Schizosaccharomyces pombe: one gene and its partners. The protein of the gene in region 3 interacts with the protein of the main gene of each other region in a biochemical or structural test. Each region holds a gene or a part of one and is shown on either strand. Other genes may lie near its edges. The genes, in order: act1, cdc3 and cdc12.

What was found.
Region 1: the proteins of cdc12 (region 3) and act1 form a complex in vitro, tested with the Schizosaccharomyces pombe proteins (one study listed by BioGRID).
Region 2: the proteins of cdc12 (region 3) and cdc3 form a complex in vitro, tested with the Schizosaccharomyces pombe proteins (2 studies listed by BioGRID).

Annotation. Positions count from the first base shown.
Region 1 is NC_003423.3:1,474,985-1,478,962, forward strand, and holds act1 (actin Act1), read right to left. Parts: upstream 2,350-3,978; 5' UTR 2,293-2,349; coding exon 1,165-2,292; 3' UTR 501-1,164; downstream 1-500. Other genes in the region: spore wall alpha-1,3-glucan synthase Mok12, read right to left, coding at 3,120-3,978. UniProt on the Schizosaccharomyces pombe protein: Actins are highly conserved proteins that are involved in various types of cell motility and are ubiquitously expressed in all eukaryotic cells.
Region 2 is NC_003424.3:2,577,748-2,581,348, forward strand, and holds cdc3 (profilin), read right to left. Parts: upstream 1,779-3,601; 5' UTR 1,732-1,778; coding exon 1,719-1,731; intron 1,670-1,718; coding exon 1,337-1,669; intron 1,281-1,336; coding exon 1,243-1,280; 3' UTR 1,209-1,242; downstream 1-1,208. Other genes in the region: SPOM_SPAC4A8.14 (ribose-phosphate pyrophosphokinase), read left to right, coding at 1-25; tif303 (translation initiation factor eIF3c), read right to left, coding at 2,473-3,601. UniProt on the Schizosaccharomyces pombe protein: Binds to actin and affects the structure of the cytoskeleton. At high concentrations, profilin prevents the polymerization of actin, whereas it enhances it at low concentrations. By binding to PIP2, it inhibits the formation of IP3 and DG.
Region 3 is NC_003424.3:281,268-289,971, reverse strand, and holds cdc12 (cytokinetic formin Cdc12), read right to left. Parts: upstream 6,629-8,704; 5' UTR 6,497-6,628; coding exon 971-6,496; 3' UTR 772-970; downstream 1-771. Other genes in the region: SPOM_SPAC1F5.03C (FAD-dependent oxidoreductase), read right to left, coding at 1-20; exocytic docking protein Mso1, read right to left, coding at 7,568-8,023. UniProt on the Schizosaccharomyces pombe protein: Plays a role in the cell cycle. Involved in cytokinesis. Component of the cell division ring. In the absence of profilin, caps the barbed end of actin filaments, thus preventing subunit addition and dissociation.

The DNA of each region.
Region 1 (3,978 bases), on a different chromosome or scaffold from region 3:
TTTTTCATCAACATCATTTAACGTTCGTTTTAATGCGTCTATACTCTGTCACGAGTTCAGGCACCGGGTCTTGGCCATCCTTTTTCATACATGTTCTGCAAATTTCGATGGATCTTTTCTTTCCATGTTTCAGCAGCAACTTATTTTATTTAATATGGTTAACATTTTTCTCTTATTCTTTGAACAATGGTTTTAATATTATCATAATACTACAAAAAAAAATAATAATCTCTTGTAATAATATATGTTGACGAAACAATTCTAAATAAAGTCATAGGAATGTAATATCATTGGATTTGTTTATACAGAGAGGCGTCGTCAGTCCAAATTACTTTGTCACTATATATTAATCGCTCAACTATACAACTGGCTAATCGGGCTCCATCTCCTACAGCTTCATAATTCACTACTTCCTCTCTTTTTATATTTGAAGAACACTAATCATACCAATGTCTTACAATTTATAAGAATTTTACCTCAACTATACTATCCAACAATGATCATATACCATGTATGTATTAAATCTTTTTTTGACCTAATAAACTTTTGCTAATACTAATGTAAAACACATTCAACCATTTGGCTTCAAAGTTATACAAGTTCAGGTACCAATTAAATCAGTACTGAAGATGATACAACTCTACAGGACGAAAAGAAATGGCTGATGAAGTACATTGCACCACTTCCGCTTCTAACTATCTCGCAGTTACCACCTTGTACAAAATAAAATTCGTAAAAATTAACGGGAGTAAGTAAAATTCATTTACTACAGTTCTTTAATCGATAATCACAGCGATAAACATAACGAAAATATCGACAAAAATAATCGGCCGGACTCGAGAAGAAACATGTTAAAGAAAACGGGAAGTTATAAGCGAATGAAGTAACATCATAGGTATCTACTGGAAATATTTCTGTAACTTCAATATGTAAAAGGCTAGCTCTGCATTCGTCTATAATGAAAAAAAGAAAACAGAGCAAGAAAACGATAGTAATCAGAAAGTATATAAAACACTCCAATAATTGATACCCAAAGTTCCTCATGAGATGTTAAGAGCGGAAAAAGGTGGTTAAATAGGTAAAAAAAGATTGAAATTTATATATATCAGAAGAATCGATGTTATTCAAAAGTATGTAAAAAACGTTACAAAAAGTAAGAGGAGCTTAGAAGCACTTACGGTAAACGATACCAGGTCCGCTCTCATCATACTCTTGCTTGGAGATCCACATCTGTTGGAAAGTAGAAAGAGAAGCAAGAATGGATCCACCAATCCAGACAGAGTATTTACGCTCAGGAGGAGCAACAATCTTGACCTTCATGGAGCTAGGAGCAAGGGCTTGAATCTCCTTTTGCATACGATCGGCAATACCGGGATACATAGTGGTACCACCAGACATAACAACGTTACCGTACAAATCTTTACGAATATCAACATCACATTTCATGATAGAGTTGTAAGTAGCCTCATGAATACCGGCGTTTTCAAGACCCAAAGCTGAGGGTTGGAAAAGAGCTTCAGGGGCACGGAAACGCTCGTTTCCGATAGTGATAACTTGACCATCAGGAAGCTCATAAGATTTCTCAAGGGAGGAAGATTGAGCAGCAGTTTGAAGTTCTTGCTCAAAGTCCAAAGCGACGTAGCAAAGTTTCTCCTTGATGTCACGAACAATTTCACGTTCGGCGGTAGTAGAGAAAGTATAACCACGCTCCATGAGAATCTTCATAAGGTAGTCAGTCAAGTCACGACCGGCGAGATCAAGACGCATGATAGCATGAGGAAGAGCATAACCCTCATAAATGGGAACAGTGTGGGTAACACCATCACCAGAGTCCAAGACGATACCAGTGGTACGACCAGAGGCATACAAAGACAAAACAGCTTGAATAGCAACATAAAAGGCAGGTGCATTAAAGGTTTCGAAAATAATTTGAGTCATCTTCTCACGGTTGGATTTGGGGTTCAAAGGAGCCTCAGTCAACAAGCAAGGGTGCTCCTCAGGAGCAACACGAAGCTCGTTGTAGAAAGTGTGATGCCAAATCTTTTCCATATCATCCCAGTTGTTGACAATACCGTGCTCAATGGGGTACTTCAAGGTCAAAATACCACGCTTGCTTTGAGCTTCATCACCAACGTAGGAATCCTTTTGTCCCATACCTACCATAATACCATGGTGACGGGGTCTACCGACAATCGAGGGGAATACAGCTCTAGGGGCATCATCTCCAGCGAAACCGGCTTTGCACATACCAGAGCCATTATCAATAACCAACGCTGCGATTTCTTCTTCCATGGTCTTGTCTTTTGAGGGTTTTTTGGTTCGTTACAAAAAATGTAGTTGGTAAACGGTAAGTTATAACACGGCTGGCTGAGGTGGTATGAAGCCGTTGATTACATATAGATAAGATACACAGTTATACAGTGAAAATCTCTTATATATTTTAAAATATACATTTAAGTATAATGGGTGTTTAAATATGTATGAAATTGCTATATTTGAGCCACTTTTTTGATAAAGCCACACACAGCGTTAGCACTTCACGGCAGAATGCGCACGGAAGAAGACCGCGGAAACGGATAACATTGAGCAACCGGTTGTAGTACTGTAAGCGATATAGCAAATCCTTTAAAAGCTCTTATAAACATATAAGGAAATATAATTTCCGCGTTATTTAACTTGAAAAGCAAAAAACAAAAGAAAATGAAAGTTCACGATATCGAATATAAAAGAGATGGTCATAAAAATCTTATCAAAATTCACAGACAAATCTTCAAAGGTATTTCAAGTATTTGCAACTCGCGTGTCCCTATTTTATTAGTATTCATTCGACATTGTTATGATCAATAATTTAACACTAGCAAAAAAAAAGGTAATTTTTTTTTATCAAATGGCTATTAAATTACATCTAATTAAAAATTTCTCTTGATACAATGTATTATAGTTGGGTTGAATCGTATACTATAAAAATAATTAGTGATCAAAAGAATGAATATTAGTTTTAATCAAAGATAGATAAAAGTATAAGAATAATCATTAACATAAAAATTAAGATGTCATAAAATAAAAGAAAAATTCAGTAAAAACAACCCAAACACCGTCTCATTATCGTAGATCAAACACTAAAGAGCAAGCTGACTTTTACGATAGTGATAGAGCAATCCTCCAACAGCTACAAATTGACATATTAGTGCAATATAAAAGCAAGGTGATGCACAAGGTCCCGGTCCTTCGCTAGGATTCCATGCACCAAGATTTGGGAATACTCGATCACTTACAGGCAGAGAAGGTTTTGCGATCATAATTGTAATACAACTTATAACTTGCGCTAGCATCAACGTGAAAGCAACATGATCTCTCGCCAGGGTTTGCAGTAACATTACACCGACACCGACTCCCTGTATCCCGTCCCATAGAGCTAGCAAAAGCCATACTGACTTCGTCAGCAAGGCAGAAGCCTTACCAGCCCATGGTAAATTAATTCCGAGACCCGAGGATGACCAAAACTCTAAGCACCAGCGTGGACAAATGAGGCCCAATCCAAATATCACTGGAAACCAAACGTTATTAAGAGACAAAATCTTTATAACTGATAAGAGAACGGCCCAAACCACGATGAAGAAAATGAGTAAAAGAATGATTATGCTCCACAAAGGAGTGTTGCTAGTATTCCAGAAAAACCTCCAAGCCTGGCCATAAGGGACAGCAAGCCAGTAATTGATTAAAATTTGAGAGATAAAAAACCAAATTACAATATTTCGTTTTCCTAATGAACGATAAAACGCTGGAATGATAGAAGGAGCTTGGCGATAAAAAGCAGGTAAACCTGCGAATGTTACGTAGGAAAGCCCGAAGCAAATGAAAGAGGCGATAAGTCCCCCTGCAAAAATGCCAGGCCCCACATTTTGAGTCAAATCTTTCTTCGATAATAGATCTCCCCATGACCAGAGGATTGCAGACCAAATCTGTTGAATCCCATGT
Region 2 (3,601 bases), 2.3 Mb from region 3:
CTTCTTGTTTAAGAAAGCGTTCTAAAATTTTCGTACTACTTTATTTATCATGTTAATTTAATTAGTTATTTTAACTACAATATGCTGCTCTAGAAGACTTGGTTTTGAGTCAAAGTTATAGGATATCAAAAAGTAACGTTTTGTTTAATATCACTGTTTCTTACCTTGGTGTGAAGAATGTCTACCAATGAATAGAAAAATCTGTACGCTAATTATTTACCTAATTTAAGAAGTAGCACTATTTTGTAACAAATATAGTTGCCCGTATTGTGGGACTTCTTTAAATTCGAGGGTTTTCACGTTTTATTAATGCATAAAAATATTAAAAAAAATAATAATTAAAAATTGGTAGCAATTTAGAAGTTACTTTAAAATTTATTAGGCCAGTTCAACTCTTTCATTGGCATTTTAATATACCAAAACACTTAATAATGTAAGTAAATTGCAAACATAATTTGTTAAATTCAGAAAAGCTGAGTTTCTTCAAATGAACTATCAAAAACCAAAGTTTTATTAAAAAAAAAAAAAAAAAAAAAGAATCTCAAAAGATTAAAAGAAAATGTCGTTTAACTTCTTAACAATACATTTGTTTACAACTTGTTTTTATTTTTTTGTCATATTTTCAACTTTGCGAAACACACTATATATACTATATAGTTTGCTACAAATCAAGCAACAGCTCCCGTGGCCAAGCTGGTTAAGGCCTCATGCTTATATGATACTCCCCTTAGGAGGTGTGTTACGTGGAAATCGCGAGTTCGATCCTCGCCGGGAGCACTTTTTTTGCAAAGAATTTTTACACAGTCAAGATTGTTGGCTTGTCTAGTGTATGGATCATTGTAAAATAATTTTTATAAGTATATGTAGTACTTGATTTTTTGCAATTGCTTATGTAGATAAATCTATCACGTTACCCTCCACTTAATGAACTGACTTCTTCCTATTCAAACCCTCTTTTTTGCGAAAAGATAAATATCTAAATATTGTTGTGTTTATTTACATATAATGTAATTTGGCTCAAGTTAGTAGTTAAAATGTTTGCACTGCTTTTAATTTGTACGCAATATTATTTCGCAAACGGAAAGTAAAAAGTTTAACATTTGTTATTTACACATGGCAATCTTCTACAAACGATATACATCCTACTAACAGAAACCTGTTCAAAAATGAGAAAGGATCCAAAACTACTTTTATCTGATAATTTAAATGAAATAGCAGTAATATTGATTGTCATGTCAAAATCTAATACCCAACACCAACAAGATAATCAGCTAAAGCCTCTATTGCGTTGTTAATAATTGTGCTAATTAAGAATAGTAAACTGAGAAAAACTTACCAGTAATCTTGGCGGCTTCTCCTGGAAGGGTTGTTTCAGGGTAGTGAGAAACCAAAATGCAAAGCTTAGTAGCTACACAAATAATGCCCTCTTTCTGTAATTTACCATAGATAGAACGTCCTTCAGCTCGAATAGTGATGTATTTTTGACCGGCTAAAATGATACCAGTGCCAAACATACTAGGTGGATCTTGGAAACCAGCGGCAAGGCCTTGGATTTCCTGAGGAGAAAGATTGAATCCAGCAGAAGCAGCCCAAACACTGTCACCAGCACGAGAGACGATAGCAGCGCGATCGATTTTTCCAGTACCGAGCAAAGAAGTATCAACGTAAGCTAAATAAGTTAGATATTATTCGTAATAATATCTAGAGGATATACAAACCTTGCCAAGACATTTTTGCAAATCTGGGTTTAGAGATAGGAAAACTTGTAGTAGTAGGGTGACGGAAAGTAGCAGCTACCCGTTCTACATGCGTTTGAAACCTATGACCAATTTAAGGTGCTCTAAGACGTTCTAACATTGATAAAAAAATTCTTATAAAGTTTCCCTCATTTTTAGAAATAATATGAAACTTATCGCAGTTGACTTCGTTAGAGGTTTACCATTCAAGATCGTGTGAATGTATTGTGTAAGGATTGTTATGCTTAATACGACTTCAGAAGTATTCAATAGAATTTCAGAACTCTTGTTTAGAGGTTCAACAACACAATTAGAGATACTTCGTTCAGTAATAGATTTTTTAAAGAAAACAACTTCAAACCATACACCGATAGATTGAGCTCGTACTAGCGACCAAAAATTCGATTACACACATCATGTCTGTTTTCAGTCGATGGAAAAAAGGCGACCATATGAAACTGAAGAACAAAGCTTGCAGAAATAGCTTACTGTAAACGTGTATAATGGTCAACAGATTCAGACTTTCGAAGCAAAGTATCTTTACAATTGAAGATAATTACCAAACGGTAAACTACATTATTTCCGATTAACGTTTGTAACAAAACCACTATGAAGTAACTCAGATGTCTATTGATCTATGGAAACCACCTGATAGTTAAATACTTTCTTCAAAGACAAATAGTCATTCATTTTATTGAAATTAGATCGCCCTATTTTTCACCGATGCACAACAACTTTAATTCATGTCTGAACGATTCCGATTTTCGGTGCGTTCATTGCGTCTTTTAACCGAGCCACCCTTATCACGACGTCTGTTCTCCTGAGGATTAGTGTGTTGGGTCTTCTGCTCATATAGCTTTTCATTTGCCTCATTCAATTGTGCAGTTTTCTCGCTAAGAGAAACAGTCAAGCTTTCCAGCTTGTTAATCTCAACACGTTCAAAAATGATGGCACCGTGAACTTGATCAAGAGCAGCATGGATCTCACGTTTAGATAATAACCGAGAAACAATAACAGTAACACGCTGAACAGGAAGATCAAATGTCGTAGCCAAAAATTCAAGAGAAACAGAATCGTAAAAAGCAGCATATGCTAATAAGTATGTACGTAGTCCCTCTTCCCGAATCTTCTCACTAAGCATTTGCTTAATTTTGTCAGCATCAGGCATTAAGCTCCAAATCTTAATAGCATGAATAAATTCTTCACAACGACGCCATTCACCATCTGCCAATGCTTTCGAAGCTTGCATTATATACTCGCGGGTATTTTCAGGAGGACCAACGAAAAGCTGACGATCAATGTATTCAAGCATACGACGGAAGGGTCGGCTGATTACACGCTTTCTAGAATCTGAAGCAGTAGAGCTAGCAGCTGCCATTGCGGGAATCTCCATCAACATAGAACAAGTCAAGTAAACACATTCAAGCAGTTCTAGATTTATGTGCATATGGAAAGGTAAAACCAACTGCTTATCCAAACGATCCTGATCAGGTGTAAATTGTCCAAACTTTGGTGCTTGTATGCCTTGTCCAAGGAGTTCCTTTACACGACCAGTAGTAGAGATGTCTTGAAGAGCATACTGTGTTTCTTGAACCATACCGTTGCGGAAAGCACACAAACCAATTTGAACCATAGTGCGATTGTGTAAAATTTGAGTAGCAATGTCGGCAGCATGCACGCTATCTTGTAAATGCGACATAAGTAACATATCACGAGCCTTGTAAAAACGATTTTGCAATGCTTCATGATAAATATGACACAGCATAGCACGGGTACGAAGTAAACTGACACCATTATTATAAAGATAGACACATAGGGAATGGATTAAAATATCAGGAGTCGTAGTCGTGGCACGAGGAGTAATT
Region 3 (8,704 bases):
ATGTTTCGAGAATTGCTCATTGTTATTTCTAAAACTCGGTTTAAATTTAAACCAAGTAATGTAGACTCTGAAATTTAATTATATACCAATAATTCCAATTTTCAAAGAAAGATTACGAATTTAAAATTTTCACAACGTTGGTGTTGGGTAGTTCGGTGGTCAAGATGTGCGCGCTAATCTTCTAAATCCGTTGAACTTAAAACCAATAGTGAGTGGTCAGCGCAAGTTGGTAGTTAAAGCGTTTAAAAAGCTCGTCGTCAATCTATTTCAATGAGCACTAGTTAAATTATAAAAAAAGATTAAGCACATAAACAATCTCAATAGTTAATAGTTATGCTATTTACTGAATTATACATGCTACTACTCGAGCGTAGACTAATTTTAGACTTCTCGAAAAACAACATGTGTATAAAAATAATTGAAATTTCATTTTGTAGAATGTTTGACTTAATGCATGCTCGTGTTCTACCATTCTACCAACGATACATCAATCAGAGTATGTTTCTCGAAAAGACAGTTCTGCAACAGCACAATGTATTTGCCTTAGAAAATGTAACAAGTTAATTACACCGAAAATATAATTGAGCAATATTTAAATAGTGAGTCTTCGCCAATGATTCGTCACTTTATAAAAGAAACGAAGAAACATTAGCACACATCGAATGATTTCTAAACGATTTTCATCTTAACATTAGTCCTATTTTACTTCAGATTGAAAAATTTTACAGAGTTCTACATCAATTTGCGCAACAGACATTATGATAAATAGAATAGGGATTTAAATCATTATATTTACATACTCATAAGAAGATTTTTAAAGAAATATGACAAAATGTCAAACGAGCCAGCTCTTTCTATTAAAAATGATGAACATGATACACACTTCAAAAAAAGGGCAATCTTCCAACTAAACTAACTTCCAAAATTAGAAAAAAAAATTATGCAATGGTAGAAAGATTGCATCATTAACCTATTTCTCATTCTCCTTAGGCGCCAATTTTCCAGATAATAAACCTGCAAGCATTTCTTGTGCTCGTTGTGGTGATTTGATAGGAGTACTTTGACTTAAGATTCGGTTATGATCCAAAATAGAAACGGAAGGCGATACTAATATTTTGTTGACGGGCGTTTCTTCAGAAGAATAAACCTTCTTACCTCCTACTGATTGAAGATGTCGTTCAGAGTTTTGTTTCAATTTTTCCAGACGTTCCATATATGAGGACTTATTGCTGCCGTCTGGTTTAGTAGCTTGTTGAAAATTCAAATCATTAGTTCCCGAAAATTTATTGCTTTTCAAAGGACTCATTTGCTGCAACATGCGTCGACGGCCACGGCTATTGTTTCTTCGTAAAATAGTGTTAATATCATTGTTACCAGGTTTAGCTCTGGCTGTTGAAATCGTAGTTGTAGTCGGAAAAGTTTCCTTCAAGTCATTGGTGGCATTTTCTAAGTTCCGAGAGACAGCGCTGGTATCTTCATTAAGTTCGGTGTTATTAGGAATCATGGGAGCAACCAGATTATTTTCGACACCACGAGGAAAAGTATTCTCCTTTTCGTTAGCATGTTTACTTGCCCTAGTACCATTTGAAATTGTCGGCGTAAGCAAATTAACTTTAGAAGCCTTTTGAGGAAATACTTTCTTCTCGTTTGAAATAGTATCAGATTTTAGAGATTCTTTAGACGGTTTATTCTGAGGGCTTGTCTGGTTATTGTTTATACCTTTATCCTTTCGAGCTTTACCCGTCTTCTTAGAATCCCGGTTTTGTGAACCTCTTCTTGATTTTGAACTAAACCTTCGAAATTTCTCACCATTAAAGGGTTTTTGCCTATTAGAATCTTCCAAACTGCTTGGATCAGAAAAAGTGTAAGAAGCGGAGCGACCCTTATTACTTTTATTCTTCGAATTTTTGTTAAGGACATAGCTATCAGATACCTGACGGCCCGAACGACGCTTTTCGTAGTTGTATCCCTTTTTAGCTTTGCTAGATACTTCTCCTTTTTTCGTTGGAGTAATATTTAATGCGTCAGATAATCCATCGGTTGATTCACTACCCTTAGGATACCTTGGCCTAACTTTTGCCAAGTCACTTTTTACCGAAGATCTCTTAGGAACAAATAATTCGTTTTTTGCAGGACTAGATTTAGTAGAAGTGTTAGGAGCTTCTATTAAATGTTCTTTACCCATAGTAATGGCGGATCTATTTCGTGGTTTATGGTGACTTTCTAATTTGACGTTTCTCAATTTATCAAGGAAACCATCCATTGCTTCATTATCCATTTTGTTATTTTCAGACATTGCACGTTCAAGCACGTGTTCTTTATGATTGTTGACAAGATTCAAACGTCTATGCTGTGAAGCTTCTTCTTCTTCCGATTTCAAGTTGTCAGATCTAGCCTTAGAGTAGTCAATTATGAAAGAATCAACACGTTTAAAGAACAGGTTCTTGGAATTAGGGTCATTAGGCTGTTCACCAAAATATCTCATAGCATTGTTCAGGGTAGTATTCATTGTACGTAAATGCTCTTTCAAAAAATCCATTTTTTTGGTGCCTTCCATTAACCAGGGTAATATAACTGAAAGGATTTTATCATCAGGATGAAATACCGTAGGGTCGGAAAGAGCCCCAGAATCACAGTCTATTTGTAAATTCTGACAACCACGAATTAACTCGGAGCACTCTTGTTCAATCGCTTCAATATTCAGTTTGGCTGCTTCAGTGACGGTTGATAGTTCAGGGGAAAAGTTGTCAAACTGAGGAAAATGCTTCCTAATAGTTATATCAAGTATATGAAGTAAACTTTTAGTGTTATTGGCATTTTTTATCAATGGAAGTCTTTGAAGTGAACCAATGGCAAATCCTTTAGCTTGGCGCACATAATCGTTCATATAGTTTCCTAAATATAGAATTAAATATAGCAAACCTTTAAAAACTTTGCTGTCCCGAAGCTCAAGAGCAGCCCGCCCTATAAGTTTTGTTTGACGAACAAGGTTCTCATAATTGGTTTCGATTATGTTTTTAACTTTTAGTGCATTCATTCTTTGGTTCCAATAACCCCCAAGATCAACTATAAGTCTCACATAAAGATAGTCCCAACGACTAAGCTCTGAAGCATCCTTTTCGCTATTAACTAGATCACCACCATTTGCCCAGTCAATACGATAAGGCTCCAAATCTGCTTTTAATTTAGGTTGATTTAGTACTTTGTCACTTGATAAAAATTCAACACACTCGTTCATGCTATCATCACAATGTAAAATCATGCGAATGATCTCATTCGGATTTTTGTGAGACAGCTTGTGAAAGTGAATACCAAAAAGCTTCTGAAGTTCACTACTCATGTAATCAGTTCTAGCACATGTTTTTTTGACCAATGTTTTTGCTTCCTTCATCGCAAAACTTTCATCTAATTCATCTAAGACCCCTGATGTATGCAAGGTTTCCAAAATTTTGTTGGCCTCGTCAGAAGGTCCCGTCCAAAATGTAAATTCCAGCCCAGAATTCAACTTCTCCCAATGCATTTGCTTCAAACGACGAGTTGGTCGACGAGTCAAACCAGTAGTCTTATGCAAATCATCTTTTGATATATTATTTGAAACAGCTGGGGATACGAATTTACCTCCAGCTGCACTTACTAAGGGAGGAGGAGGTGGTGGTGGTGGTGGAAAAGCAGGCATAACCCCAGCAACCGATGTATCATTAGCAACGATGTTCACAGAATCAGGATGGGAAAAGGTATTTAAACTAGTTTTAACAGGAAGAGGAGGAGGTGGTGGTGGAGTTGGATGTGTAATTATCGTTGGTAAAGAAGTTGCATCATTAGGAATATCAAAGTTCGTAATTTTACTATTGTTGCTAACTGTTTCTGCTTTGTTCTCAACGCTATTAATCTCATGCGTTTGATTTGAAATATCCTTTATTACGACGTTTGACTCAATACCCTTTCCCGGAATCTCCAAGTTCGCAAAGTCATCAATTCCTTTCATACTTTTGATGGACTCATCCTTTTCACTGGTTAACGATTCAGAAGCTGAACGACCAACATATCGATGTAAATGACGAGGGAATGGACGATGAAATTTTTTATCAGGAATTTGTAAAATAGTTGACACAGTTGAGGGCTGGCTGGACTGTCGAGACATTTGCTCCCTTAGATCCCGAAGTTTGTCATCAATTCCATCGTTTGACCAAAGTGTTGACTCTGCAGCAATTTCCTTTTTCCTCAAGTCAAGCTTATCCAACAAATATTCTATAATCCTTTCCTTGGAATTAGTTGAGCCCTGAAAAGAATCCGAATTGATAAGAAGATACAATTCTCGTAATTCCACTTCGCTCCTTTGGATTTGAGTAACATGAGACTTTTGGAGAGCATCAATTTCTGTTTTTAGAGTCTCATTCGTTCTTTTCTGAGAAAGAATAACGTCTTTCTGATCCTCTACTTCTTTGTTTAACTTCGCAATTAAGTCTTCGGCACCCAGATTTACTTGCGCAGCCATTGCATCTCTTTCAATAACCATTTTCTCAGCCATTGCACGTGACGCCTTTGCTTCCTTCAAAGCATTTCTGGCTGTGTCATCCGAATAGAATCTTTCGGTTAGCATATTTAAAGATGCCTGTAAACTATCTTCAAAACTTTCATTGGATACTTTTGAATTGAGCAGTATTCTTTGAAGTAAAGAGTTAAAAACCTTGATAAGTTTCACCTTTTGCTTTTCAGTACCTTTGGCAAGTAGTATGTTTTGAATAGTTGATTCAAGTAAACGGCCAACTTCATTTGATGCAAATTCATTGAAGCTACTTAAAATTGAGGATTCATTTGACATAAAGGAATCGACATCTTCATGCGTGGTCTGACTTATAGTCCTCCTCTCTTCTTCTGATTCATATATGTTTAGTTGTTTCTCAAGTTGTTGGTCAGGAAAGTTACGTAGAAGTTGTATAACTTCGTGTATACCTGATTCACGAAGGGAATCCAATATATCAAGGTCAAATCCTTGCTCCAATTCTTCGCAAGCAACAATTAGCTGATTGATAAATTCCATAGTGGAAGTACAATACTCAAGAAACGCTATGTTTGAAGGTGAGCTGGAAGCAGAATTTCGAGCAGGAGAAGATGGAGGGGTTCGTGCTAATTCTTTTTCCAAGATTATGTCTTTGAAAGATTTTATCCATCCAAAGAATAGCGGAACCTCCTTTTCATATTCGGCATTTATTTCTTTAAATCCAGTTTCCAATATGGAGACCACAAGAGGTTCCTTTAAAGACAGAACCCATGTCAATAAATCTGCGGCTACTTTCCTCGGAAGCAAATTTGGGGATATAAGGGTCACTGTTATTGCTTGAAATATATAAGAATTGGAAGTAACCAGAGTAGGTTTTTTCTTCAAAAGAGTAAGCATGCAACGAGGAACTTCAGCTTGCTGAGGCTGCACTACGGCAGACGAATTAAAATATGTAAGTAGATTATGCAAAGCTCGAAGTCCCTGCAGTTCAAGAAAAAGAGATATCCATCGATCGGATTGAGTTGATAATAAAGAAGAAAGTGTGATAAGTTGTAAATTACTAATTGTTTTATTCCATAGTTGGATTACGAACCAGGAAACAGGTCTATGGACGGCAGCTAATTCTGGAATTTGGAAAGAAGGATCATCAAACCCGGCGAAGTTAGAACGAATAAAACACCACTTTTCATCTGGAGTACAACTTTGAAGCATTTCAATGGCGTTTTCGTCAAAATCAAATACAGGGTGTCTTAAAAAATCGTTGAATAGATGTATTAGCTGATCCAATGAAGGTGGTCGAGTACTCGGAATTTCAAACTGAAACGAGCATACCGAATTAGGGCTCCCAGCTCGAATTGAACGTAGTCGATAAACTTGTTCATCATTAGTAGAAGTGAATTTTGGGGAAACCTCGTTGGTAATCTCAGGGACTTCAACAACAGGAGCAAGTTTATGCTTAGTTCGCCTTTTTGTCTTAGATACTGGAACTGAGGGAACAGGAGGTTTCGGCAAAGGATCAAAAGAGCGAGAATGTACAGGGGGTGTCACTGGAGCAATTTGGACATCCTCAGAACTTTTAATAATGTTTTTGGGCAACCTAGGACCCTTGAGATGTTTAGAAGTGTGCAAATGTTCAACGGAAGACGAAGATGGTAGATCAGTGACTTCAACTTTATTCGCTTTGGGTCGATGGACAGTAGATTTCTCGGGTGTTTTAGGTAAAGGAAGCTGGGAATTTTGCAAAGCATGTTTATTATGAGAATTGTACTCTTTCGATGAAAAGGTAAATTGCTTTACATACGGAGAAGTAACTGATTGGGACTTATTAGGCTGGATTAACGTCGATACTGATTCTATGGATGATGGAGGTTTATGGTACGTTGTTTTGGACTTAGGAGCCCTTGGCCCAATAGTTCTTCTGGCTGATGGAGTTGGAGTAGACAGAATAGAGTCATAAGAAAAATTAGGGTCCTGTCCCTTTGACGAATTTCGCATCTCTACTTCATAAACGAATGCAGCATTGTAATTGCTTTCAGGATCTTGTTTTCAAGTATTAACAAGGAAACTGTGATGAAAAGTTTTAGCTCAATTAAACCTTTTTTTTAAATTTGCTAAAAGTTGATGTTCAGAACTTGTTGACCTTCAAATTTGGATAAAGTGGAACACTTAGCGAGTAAGGGTTGGGATGGCTTAAATGATCTAAGATAATACGTATACTTGCGAACAAGTAAGTTGAAAGGAAATGAAACTTCGATATATCTAATATTATAATGGTTAAATTGCGTTATAGCGTATTAAATTTTATTTTTAGGATAATCGAAATTCTCGTCTTGTAAGTCTAGTCTGCATTTGGATGCGGTTTCTGGTTGCTTAAAACGTTGTTCAATGAGAAAATACATTCGTGAAGATCATTTTTACTTACAAAGCATTCGTAACATATTTTGTTGTCACGTTGAGCTAAATATAACCAGAAATTTGCAAATAAACGAGAATCACAAGAACGAATCCATTGGTGCTTTTATTTACATACCATATTAAATTACAATAACGAATTTTCACAATTCGTCCCTAAGTGTTCGAGTTAGAAATTAAAGAAACCTATACGATGCGCTGTATGTAACGATAAGTTTTTATAATGTTGAATTGATTTCAGCTACTAGCTTTAATTCTACCAAGCGCTTTTTGAACAGTTTAATTTTTAAAGCTACAATCCGGTTAGAAACATAAAGAACATGTGATGGTTATTTAATTAGACTAAATGATAGTTCTCAAACTAAAGGCGAGTTGCTTAGGATAGTGCACCTTATTGTCAGGTCATTCCAAAAATAATTACTAAAGGAAAAACCAGAAAAGGTGAGCTAACTCAAAGTTGTAAAATAAGTAATTATGCCTCTGTACTGACAAATGTCGAACTTCTGGGTAAGATGGGCTTAGTTATTAACAAACGAGGTTGAGAATAACACATACGTAGTAACAGCATTTTCAAAGAAACAAAAAGTCGTTTTGATCATTAATACGCCATTAACAGATACCAATGAGAGTAAAGTAAAGGTATCGTTGTGTCAACTAAAACTTCTTTCTAGTGTGATCAAATTTTGACCGTAGCAATGAGCCGGAAGGTGTAGAGGAAAGAGGTTTCGTGGTGGAAGGTGATTTTTGAAGACTTCCGACACCTTCAAACAAATCGTCAAAGGTACTATGTTGAACAGAAGGTAATCGTCGTAAAGGGGGAGACGAAGCAGAGGAAGTGGAGGACGATAGCCTCCTAGGATTGGCCGGAATATATGAAGCTTTTAAATTTGAAGGAGCCGCATTACTTGCATTTATGCTAACTGGGGAAGTAGGTCCTGTGTTAACTGGAGGCTGCCATCCAGGAGGACGAAGCCATTCAGGTAATGTCCCAATTTTGTCCATATAGTATTTTCTCATTACACGAGCAACGTGAGTATCTTCAATCGTATTATCGCTTTCAGGGTCGCGAATACGATTAATTTTTGAAGAAATCGATAACTTTGACCACATGATGAATCGAGAGTTCGCGTTTCTTTATGTACTACTTAATCTCTAAATTTTAAAGAACCTTGGCATTTGAATTCAAAAAATTTCAATAAAAGTAATTAATAAAAAAGTTTAGCCATTATTATGATGCCAAGAACGGCTTAATATCTGGCGACGCGGATTTCATAAAGACGCCAACTCGCTAAACTGTCTAAAGTGATTAATAACACGACCATGAACTACATTATATGTTTTAACGAATGTAAAATCAGCACATAAATAGATAATTTTATTGCAAATGTCCAATTGATTAATATCTTACAAATAAAAATAATTTGTGGGTGGATTTAAACATTTAATTTAGATACTCTCGAAGATGATGCATGAAATCGGCTAAAAAAAAGAATGAACGATGAAAAGCTTGGTAAACAAAATCAATACTGAGCAATCTTACTATGTAGTAGCTAATTAAGGTATACATAATTTCTAAATGGACTACGAAAATGTAGTTTTAAAATAGTTAGGTAAGTTTTAATTTTACTACTTGTAGTCTTCCAAAAATCATAAACTAGTATCTACAATAAAAATTTCTTTAAATTAAATATATGTCGGTGAAAAAGAGCCTCGCCCTTAATATGTATTCACTACGAAAACTAAATAAGGATATCGTATATATTAGTTGTTCTGCGTTCACAAAGCTGAGTG